3 linked regions of the Nothobranchius furzeri genome follow. The protein of the gene in region 2 binds, or shares a complex with, the protein of the main gene of each other region. Links are inferred from orthologs where the notes say so. Each region holds a gene or a part of one and is shown on either strand. Other genes may lie near its edges.

Region 1 (4,352 bases), on a different chromosome or scaffold from region 2:
CAGACTGAGACACTTCACGTCTACTTTGTCCAGCTTTTTCTGCCTCTGTTTATATTGGAGTTCCTCCGAAGCTTAAAGCAGTAGTCAACAGTTCAGCTCCCAGCTTCGCCTGCTTCCCTCCAAGGAGGAACTCTGCAGACAGCTCTCTGTATGTGCTGCAGACCCTGCGTTCATGAATATCCTTCCTATGAATTGCATGTTTCCACCTATGCCTCGCCTCGCCGTATAACACAACTAAACACCTGCGAGGAAGTCGTACAGCAACCTGGACTTCCTCTGAAAGTCCCAACTCTGGCAGACCCTGCTCAAGAGACATGGTGAGCACAGTTTCTGATAACATGTTGATGGTGACCAGCCGCTCCCCCCACAACCAGGAGTCATCCAGGTGCGGATCAATGGCTGAGCCTCTCTCCGGAGCGTAATCCAGATTGCACTGCTCCACTGGTTGAAAGCCCGCAAGATTTGCATCTTGCTGCATCCGCAGCACCAGTTTTTGGCTTAAAGCAGGAAGTCCAGTAAAGTCTGCGATGCGCACTTTTCTCTTCTTGAAGTTTACTTTAGGGCCAAAGTCCTGCAACCGTGTAAAATGAAAAATTTGAATGTTAAAAATATGTAACCCACAAAAAAGTACATTTTCATTAAATGTTTTCCACCTGTTTCCTTCGGCCAGACTGTGAGGGATGCCACACATCCTGGTCCATTACGCTAATCAGCTCCCTCTCCTCCTCCTCTGATATAAAGTTCTCCCACAGGAAGACTCCAGAAAAAGGGAAGGAAGAGCCCTCTTCATCTTCGCTGACAGCGAGCCCCGTCTTGGCATTATAGAGGAAATGATGCACAATCTTCATACCAAAAACAGAGATAACATTAATAAACAAAAGCTGTGATGACATGTTTTAATTATAAAATTTCATTTCACAATAAGTAAAGATACATGCCGTCAACATTTAAATAAACCAGGGTTGTATCTCATTATTTAAATCAAATTTACAACATTGTACCAGAATATTGTCAGAACAAACAAGAGTGATTTTTGATAAACAACACAATTTGTCCAGTGAGGGCTTCCGTACCAAGGTTTACAGACGTTACATCGCACATTAAAACTGAGATTTTTGTTCGACACACGTACCTTTGACTCTCTTGTTTCAAGCAGTACACTCGCCTTAAACGTTTCACAGACAAGACAGCGTCGGATGCCTTTACAAGCGCATGGAATAACCCCGTCGCCGTCGTCAGAGACCATCATCATCATGTTGCATCTTCTTCTACTTGGAAATCGTAGCTCCACTGCCATCTAGCGGACGGAGCCGCAGGCGTAAAATTACTTCTTTTAACCCCTATTTTCGTTCTGCCGCACTGTTATTGGCGCATTAAAATTTCAAATAAAACAAAATATGACAATACTTAGTAATATATGTGATAAACAAGAAATATAATAATCGAAAGTCGTATTTGTTTGACTTGTCTTACAGCCAATGTTCAGGGTAAACTGTGGCCAAAGTTTTAGGTAAACCACGCCCACCGGATGTAGACGGAGTTTCCCCGGGAAAGGTCAGTTGTGTTGCAGACACAAAAGTTGCAGAGAGGAGTTGGTAAGTAACATAAAAAATACTTTATTAAACATTATTAAAGGTGTTTGCTCATTTGTTATGGCTAGAAAAAGAGTCAGTTATATTACTAACTACTAACCTAGCAAAGAGTTGATTAATCGATCGTGTCAACGTGGTTATGCTAGCTACTGCTAAAGTAAAACCAATCGAAATCAAACTAACAGATTCAGTTTTACCTTGCTGAAGCATGAAGTTGATTTGGTTATATTAAATTTTTCTCAGTAAAGATGTCACTTGGCAATGGCATCGTCTCTTTACTAAATGAAAAAATGCTAAATATTTAGCTCGTTTTAAGTACAGACATTATTTAAACTTATCAGGCCATACAACTTAATCAGTGAGTGCGAATAAAAGTTTAACATGTTATTTTGCTGATAGATTCCACATTAGATGTCCTTTTCCAGCAGATCAGCTATGGAGAATGTAACAGAGAAGCTTTTACTGGAGAAAGGTTCTCCAAAAACCAACAAACTGGAGCAAATCAAAACTCTGAAGTAAGTCTTCCCCCTTGATTAACTATTTGTGTGTTCTGGTGAAGTCACTCTTTTATCAGTTGATGACTAATCGCATTTAATAGTAAAATTAGTTTTACTTGCAGATATGAAGCTTGATCTAAAATCCCCATGTTGACTTGACGGGTTTCTTCTATTTAGTCTGTCTAAGATGGCGCTGAAGCACGGGGATCTTCCTGTGAAGCTGCTATCCCGCCTGCAGTCCCTGGAGCGGTGGGATCTATCCGGGAACAGGCTGCAGGAGCTTCCAAAGAACCTGAAGCTACCTGCACTTCGGTACCTGGACCTCACCAACAACCAGATGGAGGATGTCACCACCTTAGAGTCTCTGAGCAGCTTGGAGGAACTAAAAATGGATGACAACTTTTACATCACAGTGAGGACTTGGCTGTTTTTGTCGCATGTAATCCAGTACCGTTCCGTCTCTGTTATAACATAAAGGACGGAGCTGCCTTTTTAAAATTCAAACTATTCGATTGGTCTTATTTAAATGAGTGGTTTAAGTATAATTTCTGTCTTTGAATTCATCTCAGAACTTTACAGAATCGTAAAACGTTACCGTGGCATCTTTTGGAGTCTGGTTGTTACATGTGATGCAGTTTTTCCACCCATGACTATTTTACCGCGACAATATCCACATGAGGTGAAAAAAACAAACCAAAAGGAAGTTTTCCTCTAACGCTGTCATCAGATAACTACTTCAACAAGTCTAGATGTTTTATTAGCACGTCTTTTTGTTCTCTGCAGCGCTGCAGCTTTTCCTTTTTGTTAGATATTCCTTTATTTTTGTCTCAAACTTTAAAATTCTCTTTTACAACTGAGATCAAGTCCTGACTCTGTTATTTTTAGATAAGTGATAGTTACAAGCTGATGGTGTTGCTGCCCAAACTGAGGATTTACAACAACAAAGATGTCAGCACCACTGCCAGCCACTTACGATACGTGTTCAGTGACAACCTGAGGACCAGGGTATGAAAACCGTTTAATACTTTCGTTTGAAAACATTCATGATGATTATTCATTAGACTTTGAGTTAAGCTGTGGCTCTCGATTGCATCACACCTCTAATGTTGCATTTTAAAAGGAAACGACCCAGCTGCTGCACTTTCTCATCATATCCCACACTTGGGTCACTCAGCTGCTGCTTGATTTCAGATAGTCACAGTTTGGGAGCGGAGCTTCAGTCTCCCAGATCCCATCACGGCCGGCAAAATGTCCGATCTGGAGAAGAACTTTGTGAACGCTGCTCGTCATCAAGTCAAATTTGGTCCCAGTTCAGTCAGCGATTTCACCAAATGGAGGGCAAGTCCTGAATTTACAAGGATCTCTGGGACTTTTTTGCTAATTTTCATCCCTTTTTAACAGTTTTGTTTTTACTTCCTTTTGATTTTTCAGGTGGAGATTCTTGCTAAAGAGCATCTGCGCTCACTGACACAACCAAAAGAAGACTTCATCCCCAAGGAGTCTGCTGAGGCCACAAAGAACTGTGTAAGATTGCTAATCAGCACCTTTTATTTAAACTTCACTGTTACAATACTGTCATTGGCACAAATGGCGTCTCTAAATAAAACTTCTTGCTGTTTCTGTTCAAACTGGGTCAAACATTTTACTCTATCTTCCTTTTCTCAGATAATTTCCTCGCCTTCCAAGAGGAAACGAACCAAACTGGTGACAGATGATAAAGTAATTTTGACGCCTCACAAGAAGTTGAGAGTCAACGCTCTAGAATCTTCAGCTGCTGAAGACAGCCCTCGCAAGTCCCGCAGGGTCTCTCTCCGGACAGACGGGGCTGTCTCCACTCCCACCAGAGGACAGGCGAGGACAGAGACGCCCAGGAAGAGGTCTAAATCACAGCAACTCGAAGAGGAAGAAGTTCGGGTTGAACAGAAAAAAGAAGTCAGCAAAACCAAACAGCTGCACAGGAGTCAGTACACTCTGCCTATAATAAAGATTTGTACTAAGAGTCAGGTAAAGAAACACACAGATGACTCCTTTAGATGCTGTAGAACCACAAAAACATTCCAGTGTCGTCGTTTATTCCGTACAAGACACAATCTTGTCAGACAACAACCCACAGGGGTTTGTGTTCGTTCTCATCCGTCTCTTGTGTGTGATCCTCCAGCAGCCGGTGCATCTGAAGCCTCTCCACGTGCTCCAGTGTCACAGTAAACAGGACAGCTCCGGGGACTTCTCCACGCAGCTGTGGGCCTGCGCTTTCCAGCCTCTG
Region 2 (4,091 bases):
AAACTAACTTGTTTTTATTTGCCTATTTTTCTGTCCTGCCTGTTTATTATCTTCCTGCATCTCCTCTCAGTCCTAAAGAAAAACTGCTACCTGGGTTCATATATATTCACCTTATGAGTTACCTTTGAACTGCAGTTCTAAAAGATCTACCGACCGCAAAAACAGCGGAGTGCCGCTGCTCGCCGGCCGACTACAACGGGACCGTTTTTGCTGCGGAGTTCGTGCCGGAGCGGAGATAGTGGAATCTTGGGGGTGCGTCACCGGAGGACAAAACAGGTGAAGAGCCTCGCTCCGCAGCAGCGAAACGCATCAGGCACAAATAACAGACAGAAAACATGAAAGGAAATGAGCCGACATGAACGATCGCGTGTTTAGTTAGTTTTTGAGGTGGTGACACCTGATTTGGCGGTGCTCTGGACGCAGATGTCTGGAGCGCGTCAACGATCAGAGCTTTGCATGCGCAAACTGGTTAAGATTAGGATGGGGGTGAGGGGAAGGTTAAATTGCAAGAGGGTAAAGGTCACAGTTTGGTTAAATGTCCGTTTTACCGCCGGTGTCAGTACCGACGCTCTGGCACAGCGCGTCGCCTCCGCCTCCCGACGCAGGGGCTCATCACCTGCTGGAGGACTGCATCTTGTCAGTCATTATCACGTGACAGCGACTAGTCGATGACAGGCATAAAAAGTCACTACAGAGCCGTGAAGTCGACTAGTTCATACAACCCCTAGGGAGACGTTTTAGTAGAACAGAGTCAAACCGTAGGAAAGGGCACGCCGCCACACTCACTGCAGCTGTAACATCCATTTGTTAAAGTGCTTCCTGTGTTTGTCGTGCAGCTGCTGGATCTCTTTTGAGTAGCAAGACGGTTTATCTTCTAAAAGACGATCCAACGTCTCCTGTCCAAAAAGTAAAAGAGGTGGAGTTTAGCCAAAGGTTTATTATAATGGACTAACATGTAACTTTTAATTCACACACCCGGTCAAACTTAGGGGTGTGCAAACGCTGGAGGGTCCGGTCCGACGTCAGGACCTTTGAGCTGCCATGAGCCTCAAAATACTCCTCGGTCATGGTGGGCTGATTCAGAGGCTCGGCTGTGTTCTTGCTCCTCTTGGCAGGAGTCTTGTAGAGAGCTGCAGAAAGCCCTTTACTAGGGGTTCTCGTCTTTTTCACATTCTCCTTGTCCTCTTGCTTCCCTCTCTGCTCTTCTTTGAGCTCGTCCTCCTCAGAGTCAGAGGGGGAGAGTTCACTGTCGCTGTCAGACCGAAGAGTTGGTGCTGAAAATAAGCCCCACCACACCCAGATTACACCAGCGTTACTAAACGAACACAACTACAACAGGCCAGGCGTACCTGTAAGTCTCTTCCTGAGTCTGTGAGGGGTGGTGGAGACAAACCGGACACTCTTTTTCTGTTTCAGGAGAAACAAAACTAAATTAAAACAAACTAAATCCTTCACTGGATAAAGTGAAATGTATTAGCTCTCTCACCCTCTGTGGTGTCCTGTTTTCACCTGCGTGGCCTAGACAGACAAAAGTAAACCTGATCATTTCATAATGAGAGCACAGGCGGACGGGGAGTGGGTTCGCTCGACTCACTGCTGCCTGTCCGAGAGGGAGTGGTGGGTTCCGAGTTTGTGTCCCTGGTGAAGCTCACGCTTTTTCCCGGGGTCCGAGCCAGTTCGCTCGCTACGAAGGGAAACAACAAAACAACGGTTTAATAAATGCAGCTGAAGATGAACGTTGAGCCTTCGTTCGAGAGGTAATCGGAGATTCACCAGTTTGGGCCAAGCTGTGACTTCGTTTGACTTTCTGGAAGGTGAAGATGGAGGAACCAGCAACTCTAGAAGGATTATCGTCTACTTCTGTGAAGCCAAAGAACATATTAGTGGCATTAAGAGACATTTAGGTTCATGTTATGGCTTTATTAGGTAATGTCAAAATACTAAACTCGATGATCTACAGTGGCACCGAGAAGACAGGAGGCAGGGCAGGTGAAAATGTTGAGATTGTCTTCAGGAGTGACAGGATCAGGATTAGAGGGACTGCGTTAGATGATTTGAAATAAGATCAGGCTAAGATGGTTTGGACATGGAGGAATCTGCAGAAGGATGCTCAGGCTGGAACAGCCAGGCAGGAGTCGTGGAGGAAAGCCAAAGAGCAGATTTATGGATGGAAGAGTGGAGGATGAGGGTGAAAATGCAGCAGGACAAAACCAGAACCAAGGAAGGGATACCTTCATCGTTTTCAGTTCCTAAAGCTCGGACATAACCCAGCTCATCATGGACTCCGTTTTCATCTCCATCACACCGAGTCTCCTCCAGGCATTCCCTCTGTCCAGCCGGGCTCTTAAACTTCACCATCCTCAGCCCAGAGCCAGCACTGCTCTGCAATACTAGTCACAACACACACACACACACACACGCGCGCGCGCGCGCGCACACACACACACGCACACATAAAACGAGAGCGAATGGGCAAAAAACAAAACAGCAGAGATAAACCAGCTCATACCCTCCTGTTTGTCCACGATGTGCTCCAAAACATCCCCATCCCCAACGAACTTCACCTCCAACACGCTCATTTCTACCAATAAACACAAAACACACGATACAAGCCTGAAGCCACGCAGCAAAACACACAATTAGCCCTGCTACTAGAGTCGGTTTGAACTCTCGCGCTAAAGCTGAGGAAAGTGAGCGCAAAAGGTCGAGACTTACTCAAACGGGCGGAAAAAGTCCGCAAAACAATATAAAATTTAAAACATAAACAAAACTTTAAAGTCGGAAAGTTTAATTGAGAAGCGATGTGACAAGTTTCCGCGCCATTCTGAACATTTTAAATCACGTGACTGAGTGGAAAGGTCATAAAGTGGCCAATCAAAACGCTAGTAGCAGTAAAACTACGTTTCCCAAGAATCCTTTCAACAAGTCCGCCTGTCACAAGTCCACAGACAAATAATATTCAAGTCAGGTATTCTTACTCTAATTCACAGCAGTAGAAAAAACTTTGTACAGGTAAGATCAAATGTAATGGACACAATATGACACGCTTAAGCACAGAAAAGAAGAAGTAGTGAAAATAATGAAAATAGAACTGTGAAAATAAAGTTTAACGTTGTAAAGAAAAGAAAGAAAGAGAACGATCTTTTCTCTCAAGTTAAAAATCACGAGGCGCTTCACAAAACCAAAAAATTCAAGTATAAAAAGATTTAAAAAATGATTACAAATATGTTTAAAAATAATATATGAATTATAAAAATAATAAATTAGGATTAAACCAAATCCTAAATACAAGGATTGACTGGATACTGATTAAAATACTTTAATGATTCAGGTTGATATCTGATCTGACATTAGTTAATGTCCATATTTCAAGTTACATTCAGTTTGTGGTCATTTTCAATAAGAATCACATTTCTTGGTAATCTGTAAAGGGCATTTTATTGCCATGTTTATTTTTTTCATTCAGTTTCAATTTCAAGTAGTCTTGAGAATCAGTGTGTGTCACGTTTGATGCTGTGATTATTGTTTATTTAGTATTCATTCAACTCCACAATCCGGTTAAAGATTCACTAAAGAAAGGGGATTTAGATGTCTTGCTATTAGTTAAGTCTTTTCGTTCTAGCGGCCTCAAATATTATTCTGAAATCTGTCTACGTGTGTGTGTGTGTTAGTGAGCACTTTCCCTCTACCAAGATGATCCATCCCACCGCATGTAGAAAAAGTTTCAGAGGTTTCAGTTCAGCTCATGAAAAATGGGAGCAAAAACAAAAGTGTTGCGTCTATATTTATACTGACAAATTTGTTCGTGAGAATCCAGATTTAGAAAACTATTTAACACTTTGGATTCACTTTTGCTCATTGAAACAGTTTATTTTTTCACCTTTCACTACAAAAATTTAGTTGATACAGTTTTACACAAGACAATATCTGCACTTTTTTGACAAGAACATCTTCAATTCTGTATGAATACAATCCACCATGTATAAAATCTCCTTTATGTGGATCTAAATTCCTCCTTTAATCTTCTGGATGTTATTCATTTTTATGTCTTCCTCGGAGATCTCATGGGGCGAGGCAGGGAAATACACTCG
Region 3 (4,069 bases), on a different chromosome or scaffold from region 2:
CTGGAGTTCCGGACGTAGTTGGTTTGGTAGATTTTGGCAGCCTCGGAGGCAGGGAGCATGGTGGTGGTCGCGCTGGGAGCCCCGGGGACCATTTCCTCTGGTCTGTGTGGGGAGGATGCGGATCAAAGTGGCACCTGCCTCATCTGGTAATCAGCAGAACTTCCTCTGGTTCGGTTGTGTTTTCTTTCCTTACACTCGTGTCCACAGCATCAGCTGCACTGTATAGAGGCAAGGCCGGGTCCTGATTTCTGTTCTGGAGCTCCGATTTTCATTCATCAGCCTGCAGAATCGAAACGTGGCTCTGGGAAAATACGAGCGCCGGTAATCCATTTGCAGATTCATTCTCCATTTGCGCGCATATGTAGTGGAATGCAGTCCGCTTCTTATCAGGGGATGTGTGAGATCTCCCTGCACGGATCCGTCTGAGGAGCACAACCGCAGATGTCCGTGTATAGTACAGGGCCAACCCACATCCCTTAATCCCATTCTGACGTTGCTCGCGCGAAATTTCAAACACAAAGATTTAAAATGAAAAATGTACAGAAAATATGGTAACATGACTTCAGTGGCAATGAATTAGAGATTTTGCATGACTAAAAATTACTTATTTTTACTACTAAAACGAACAAAGATAAAAACACAAAGCGATCAGTGATCATTATGATTTTTCGGAATGTTTTCATTTTTAATCATCAAATCTTAATTCATGCAAATTAGTAATTTTACCAAATGAACTGATTTTTTTGCTATCTAGACTGACAAACAATCAAATATTTAAATTTAAGAACTAGACAGAGTTTGTTATTTCAACCAATATAAAACAGTGACGTATTAAAATGTTCGTTACAAAAGTAGTAGATTAAGTCAATGCTATTATTTCTGGATCATATTGTAGATAAATCCCTATATTACTAAAATACTAACCTAAAATCACCACATCAAATCCAAAATATGCTATTTAAATTGTGTTTAACCTTTAAACTACATTTCCCAGAGTTCTGAGCTCTATTTTCATTGGGTAACAGAGGATCACGTTTCTACGCAATTCGAAGGCGCGCGAGAAAATGCAGCTAACGTTTTATCCAGTTCTCTTAAGAGAAAATGCATTTTCTCATCATTTAAAGTTGCTTACTTGGTTTCTTTCAGGGTGTTAGTTTACCCCCAACTTGTTCTATCGGTACTTTCCCGACGTTAATTCTCTTTTTGGCACTTTTTCCTCCCAAATTACCGCCTGTGTTCGTCTTTTCCGCCTCGTGTCGGTGGACTTTCAGTTACAAAAAGCCGAGTTTTATGCTAACTGTCACGGTTTTAGACAGATTATTCTAAGCCTCGTGACGATTAAACCGTGCGGGCATATTTGGGAGTTGGACGGTAAGGATGACGGGGCTGTTACAGCAACCAGGATACGACGAAGAAAGGCTAAAAAGAGTCTCAGAGCTGCTGCCTTGTAGAGAAGTCCAGGCTGGGATGCTGCTGTCTCTCATGGGACAGGTAGGAACTATAATGGTGGTTTAAAAGAATCGTTGGCTTGGTCTCCATTCTCACTGTCAGCGTTTGATTGTGTTTTCTCTGTCAGGTAAACTGGAGTTTCACGTCTGTAAACCTTTGTTTCGCAGGCACATTACAGCTTGCCGAAGATGCTCATCAAATCTTTTTGTGTTAGTGCAATGCAAGTTGTATAATCTTGATGGTGTCATTTGGCTGTTTGAGCACAACGGGCTGTCCTCAGTAGAGCTTTTTCAATTTATTGCATGATTTTTCTTTGCAGTACATATTTACACATTTTTATAATATAAGTTTGCTTGAGAAAATACAATGGTACCCAGAAACCTTCATATGTTTACAGACATCTAAACCTAAATAAAAGCTGCATCAAGATGACATAATTCCCTAATGTAAATTATGTTTGGGCAACTGCAGCAAAATATATTTTGGTGTAATTCTAAAGTTATACGAGAATCTAAAAAAATATCTAAAAAATATGAAGCTGTGGGATAATCAAGAGCCAGCAGTAGCTTATTTTTTTTTTTTTTTTTTTGTGACAAAGCTATTGTTACAAGCTTCTAATGTTGTGAGTAGATGATGACATTTTAATCCTTGGGAAATTTATACATTAAAATGCAAAAAAATATTGATACAAAAATGCTATTTTTATGCTCTTCCAGCCACAGCAGTACTGCTACCCTTCAGTCTTCATCTATGGCCATCGGTCCTCAGGAAAAAGTCACGTGACAAATATTTTGATGGAAGAGTTGGAGGTGAGAGATACTTATTGTCTATGGGTGCCTTTCCAAAAAAAAATTCATTAAATGGCAAATTTCTATGCTTGTCCCTCATTTCAGAAATTGATACCCATTTATTTATTACACAGACTAAAATAGTTTATTCCTTGTAATTAGGAATATTAAAGGTTACAGATAAGAAAAACCCCAAATTCATGCTCCATAAAATAAGAACATTATGAAGGGGTGAAGGTGGCTTAGGGGTTAGGAGTTCACTCTGTAACTGGTGGTTTACTGGTTCAATCCCAGGCTGTGTTGAGTTGGCCATTGTGTCAGACTGTCAGTGGTTGGAGGGACCTGTGGCACCTGTGTAAGGGAGCCTCGCCTCCGTCAAAATGCCCCAGTTTAGCTGTGGTTACAGTGTAGCTCATCAGTGTGTGAATGACTGTAGGTTGAAGCACTTTGGAGTCCTCTAACTCAGAAAGGCGCTAATAAACAAATGCAGGCCATTCATCACTTTGACATGATCTGTATTACATCATCATGAGAATGACAAGAAATAACCGCTTGAAATAGTTTATTTTACATTTAACAAGTCTATTAGCTTTACTTCATGAAATGTGGGCTGATTATAAAATCCAGAGTTTGAGCACAATAAGTCGCCTTTCTGGAAAAAAAAGATGGTTGAAGGACAAGTGATGAACATGTGGGCTTGTTTTATTTCAGAGTTGGATCCTTACTCTTTCAGCTTGTGTAAACCTTTAAACAGACCACTGCAGAGTACTATTACAATAACAAAATATCTAGAAGCAAACAAAGCCTTTTAAATCGTGTAGAATATTAAAATTTGTAGTTTATGGATGGCTACTTTCTTGCCAGTGGTTTTTATATGGGTTTTATTATAAAGAACTCAAAGTAGTTTGTGTTTCTTCTACAAACGTTCACATAAAAGTGGTGGCTACAAAAAGTGTACATCAGGGCCTTCTTTTGTCCAGAAAAGACCCGAATCACAAATACATTCATTCAAGGTTTTTATATAAAGGCCCCAGCATACTTTTTATTTATTTAATTTGTATTTCTTTCATCAAATGTTAGAATAAAATAGACTTTATTAATCACACAGTGGGGAAATTTATTACTTTTTAAATCGGATTAAAAATTAACACAGAGTGGAGTTTTTATGTTCACCCATCTTATGACTTTTTGACCTTCACCATTGCTCCTTCTCCTCCTCAGCTTCCTCACGCCACGGTCAGCTGCGTCGAATGTGTGTCTGTTGCGTTGCTGTTTGAACAAGTGCTACTGTCCTTCTTTGGCTGCGATGCTGCCTCGCTGCTCCCTCGTAGTCCCTCCTTGTCTGACTTTGTGCGGATCTACAGGCAACAATCCTCCCAGTTTCCTGCTGAGCAGACGCGATACATCGTGAGTGACACATCTGTGTTATTTATGATGCCATCTGTTGTAATGCAAGTGGTAAACAAAGCTCCAGATGTATTGACCTGACGTTTCTGTGCCAGAAACAGTGTTAATTTGATGTAGAATTTGGACTGAAAGTGTTTTTCATTTAAACACCTTTTATTTAGTGAGTGTAAATGTTGTAAACCGAAAGTAAACACGTGGATATGTTTCAGATTATGGAGAAGCCTGAACTTCTAAGAGACGCCGATGCCAATCTTCTTCCTGCCCTCCTTCGTCTTCAGGAACTGGTGAGAAAACACAGCTCGCTCTTTGTGGTGTTTATCACCCAAAACGCTTTGTTGTTGATAAACTGCGCCGATGATGAAGAGTTTTATTAGTGAGGAAATGTCCTTGAGCTGCTGTTTGTAGAGAGCTCTTTCATAATGCTG

Evidence for each region. Proteins that work in one complex are often made in the same cells at the same time.
Region 1: the proteins of orc2 (region 2) and lrwd1 are in contact, whole or in part, in a crystal structure (PDB 8SIU), measured with the Rattus norvegicus proteins. The link is inferred for Nothobranchius furzeri from reciprocal best matches to the Homo sapiens genes ORC2 and LRWD1. Residues at the interface, in NP_001012003.1 of Rattus norvegicus: Val11, Pro12, Ser13, Val14, Gln15, Phe16, Val17, Gly18, Asp19, Val22, Leu23, Ser24, His25, Ile26, Leu27, Asp28; in XP_038945348.1 of Rattus norvegicus: Pro262, Leu263, His264, Phe265, Leu266, Gln267, Cys268, Ser270, Asn273, Ser274, Pro275, Leu320, Val321, Leu322, His323, Lys324, Tyr325, Lys326, Leu367, Val369, Gly372, Phe373, Cys374, Pro596, Pro598, Val599, Ala600, Val605, Ile630.
Region 3: the proteins of orc2 (region 2) and orc5 are in contact, whole or in part, in a cryo-EM structure (PDB 7JPO), measured with the Homo sapiens proteins. The link is inferred for Nothobranchius furzeri from reciprocal best matches to the Homo sapiens genes ORC2 and ORC5. Residues at the interface, in NP_006181.1 of Homo sapiens: Val240, Glu241, Tyr243, Phe244, Glu245, Ser248, Asp396, Gln398, Arg401, Gly402, Glu403, His426, Asn428, Ala429, Pro430, Leu431, Met432, Trp433, Asp434, His435, Gln438, Trp445; in NP_002544.1 of Homo sapiens: Asp324, Lys325, Phe328, Leu329, Leu359, Asp360, Arg361, Ala364, Tyr367, Ser368, Ala378, Asn379, Phe381, Ser382, Gln383, Thr385, Ser386, Thr389, Asp400, Gln401, Leu402, Asp403, Tyr407.

The regions. Positions count from the first base shown.
Region 1 is NC_091750.1:30,550,569-30,554,920, reverse strand, and holds the start of lrwd1 (leucine-rich repeat and WD repeat-containing protein 1), read left to right. Parts: upstream 1-1,523; 5' UTR 1,524-1,595; intron 1,596-1,991; 5' UTR 1,992-2,003; coding exon 2,004-2,107; intron 2,108-2,266; coding exon 2,267-2,501; intron 2,502-2,974; coding exon 2,975-3,094; intron 3,095-3,280; coding exon 3,281-3,427; intron 3,428-3,520; coding exon 3,521-3,613; intron 3,614-3,754; coding exon 3,755-4,093; intron 4,094-4,247; coding exon 4,248-4,352. Other genes in the region: alkbh4 (alpha-ketoglutarate-dependent dioxygenase alkB homolog 4), read right to left, coding at 50-571, 654-842, 1,133-1,297. UniProt on the Homo sapiens protein: Required for G1/S transition. Recruits and stabilizes the origin recognition complex (ORC) onto chromatin during G1 to establish pre-replication complex (preRC) and to heterochromatic sites in post-replicated cells.
Region 2 is NC_091751.1:63,947,999-63,952,089, reverse strand, and holds the start of orc2 (origin recognition complex subunit 2), read right to left. Parts: upstream 2,853-4,091; 5' UTR 2,716-2,852; exon of another isoform or gene 2,582-2,715; 5' UTR 2,580-2,581; coding exon 2,510-2,579; intron 2,391-2,509; coding exon 2,232-2,390; intron 1,861-2,231; coding exon 1,774-1,860; intron 1,685-1,773; coding exon 1,595-1,684; intron 1,519-1,594; coding exon 1,487-1,518; intron 1,408-1,486; coding exon 1,350-1,407; intron 1,275-1,349; coding exon 976-1,274; intron 897-975; coding exon 787-896; intron 1-786. UniProt on the Homo sapiens protein: Component of the origin recognition complex (ORC) that binds origins of replication. DNA-binding is ATP-dependent. The specific DNA sequences that define origins of replication have not been identified yet.
Region 3 is NC_091741.1:42,936,157-42,940,225, forward strand, and holds the start of orc5 (origin recognition complex subunit 5), read left to right. Parts: upstream 1-1,240; 5' UTR 1,241-1,377; coding exon 1,378-1,491; intron 1,492-2,165; coding exon 2,166-2,258; intron 2,259-3,458; coding exon 3,459-3,644; intron 3,645-3,853; coding exon 3,854-3,928; intron 3,929-4,069. Other genes in the region: lhfpl3 (LHFPL tetraspan subfamily member 3 protein), read right to left, coding at 1-92. UniProt on the Homo sapiens protein: Component of the origin recognition complex (ORC) that binds origins of replication. DNA-binding is ATP-dependent. The specific DNA sequences that define origins of replication have not been identified yet.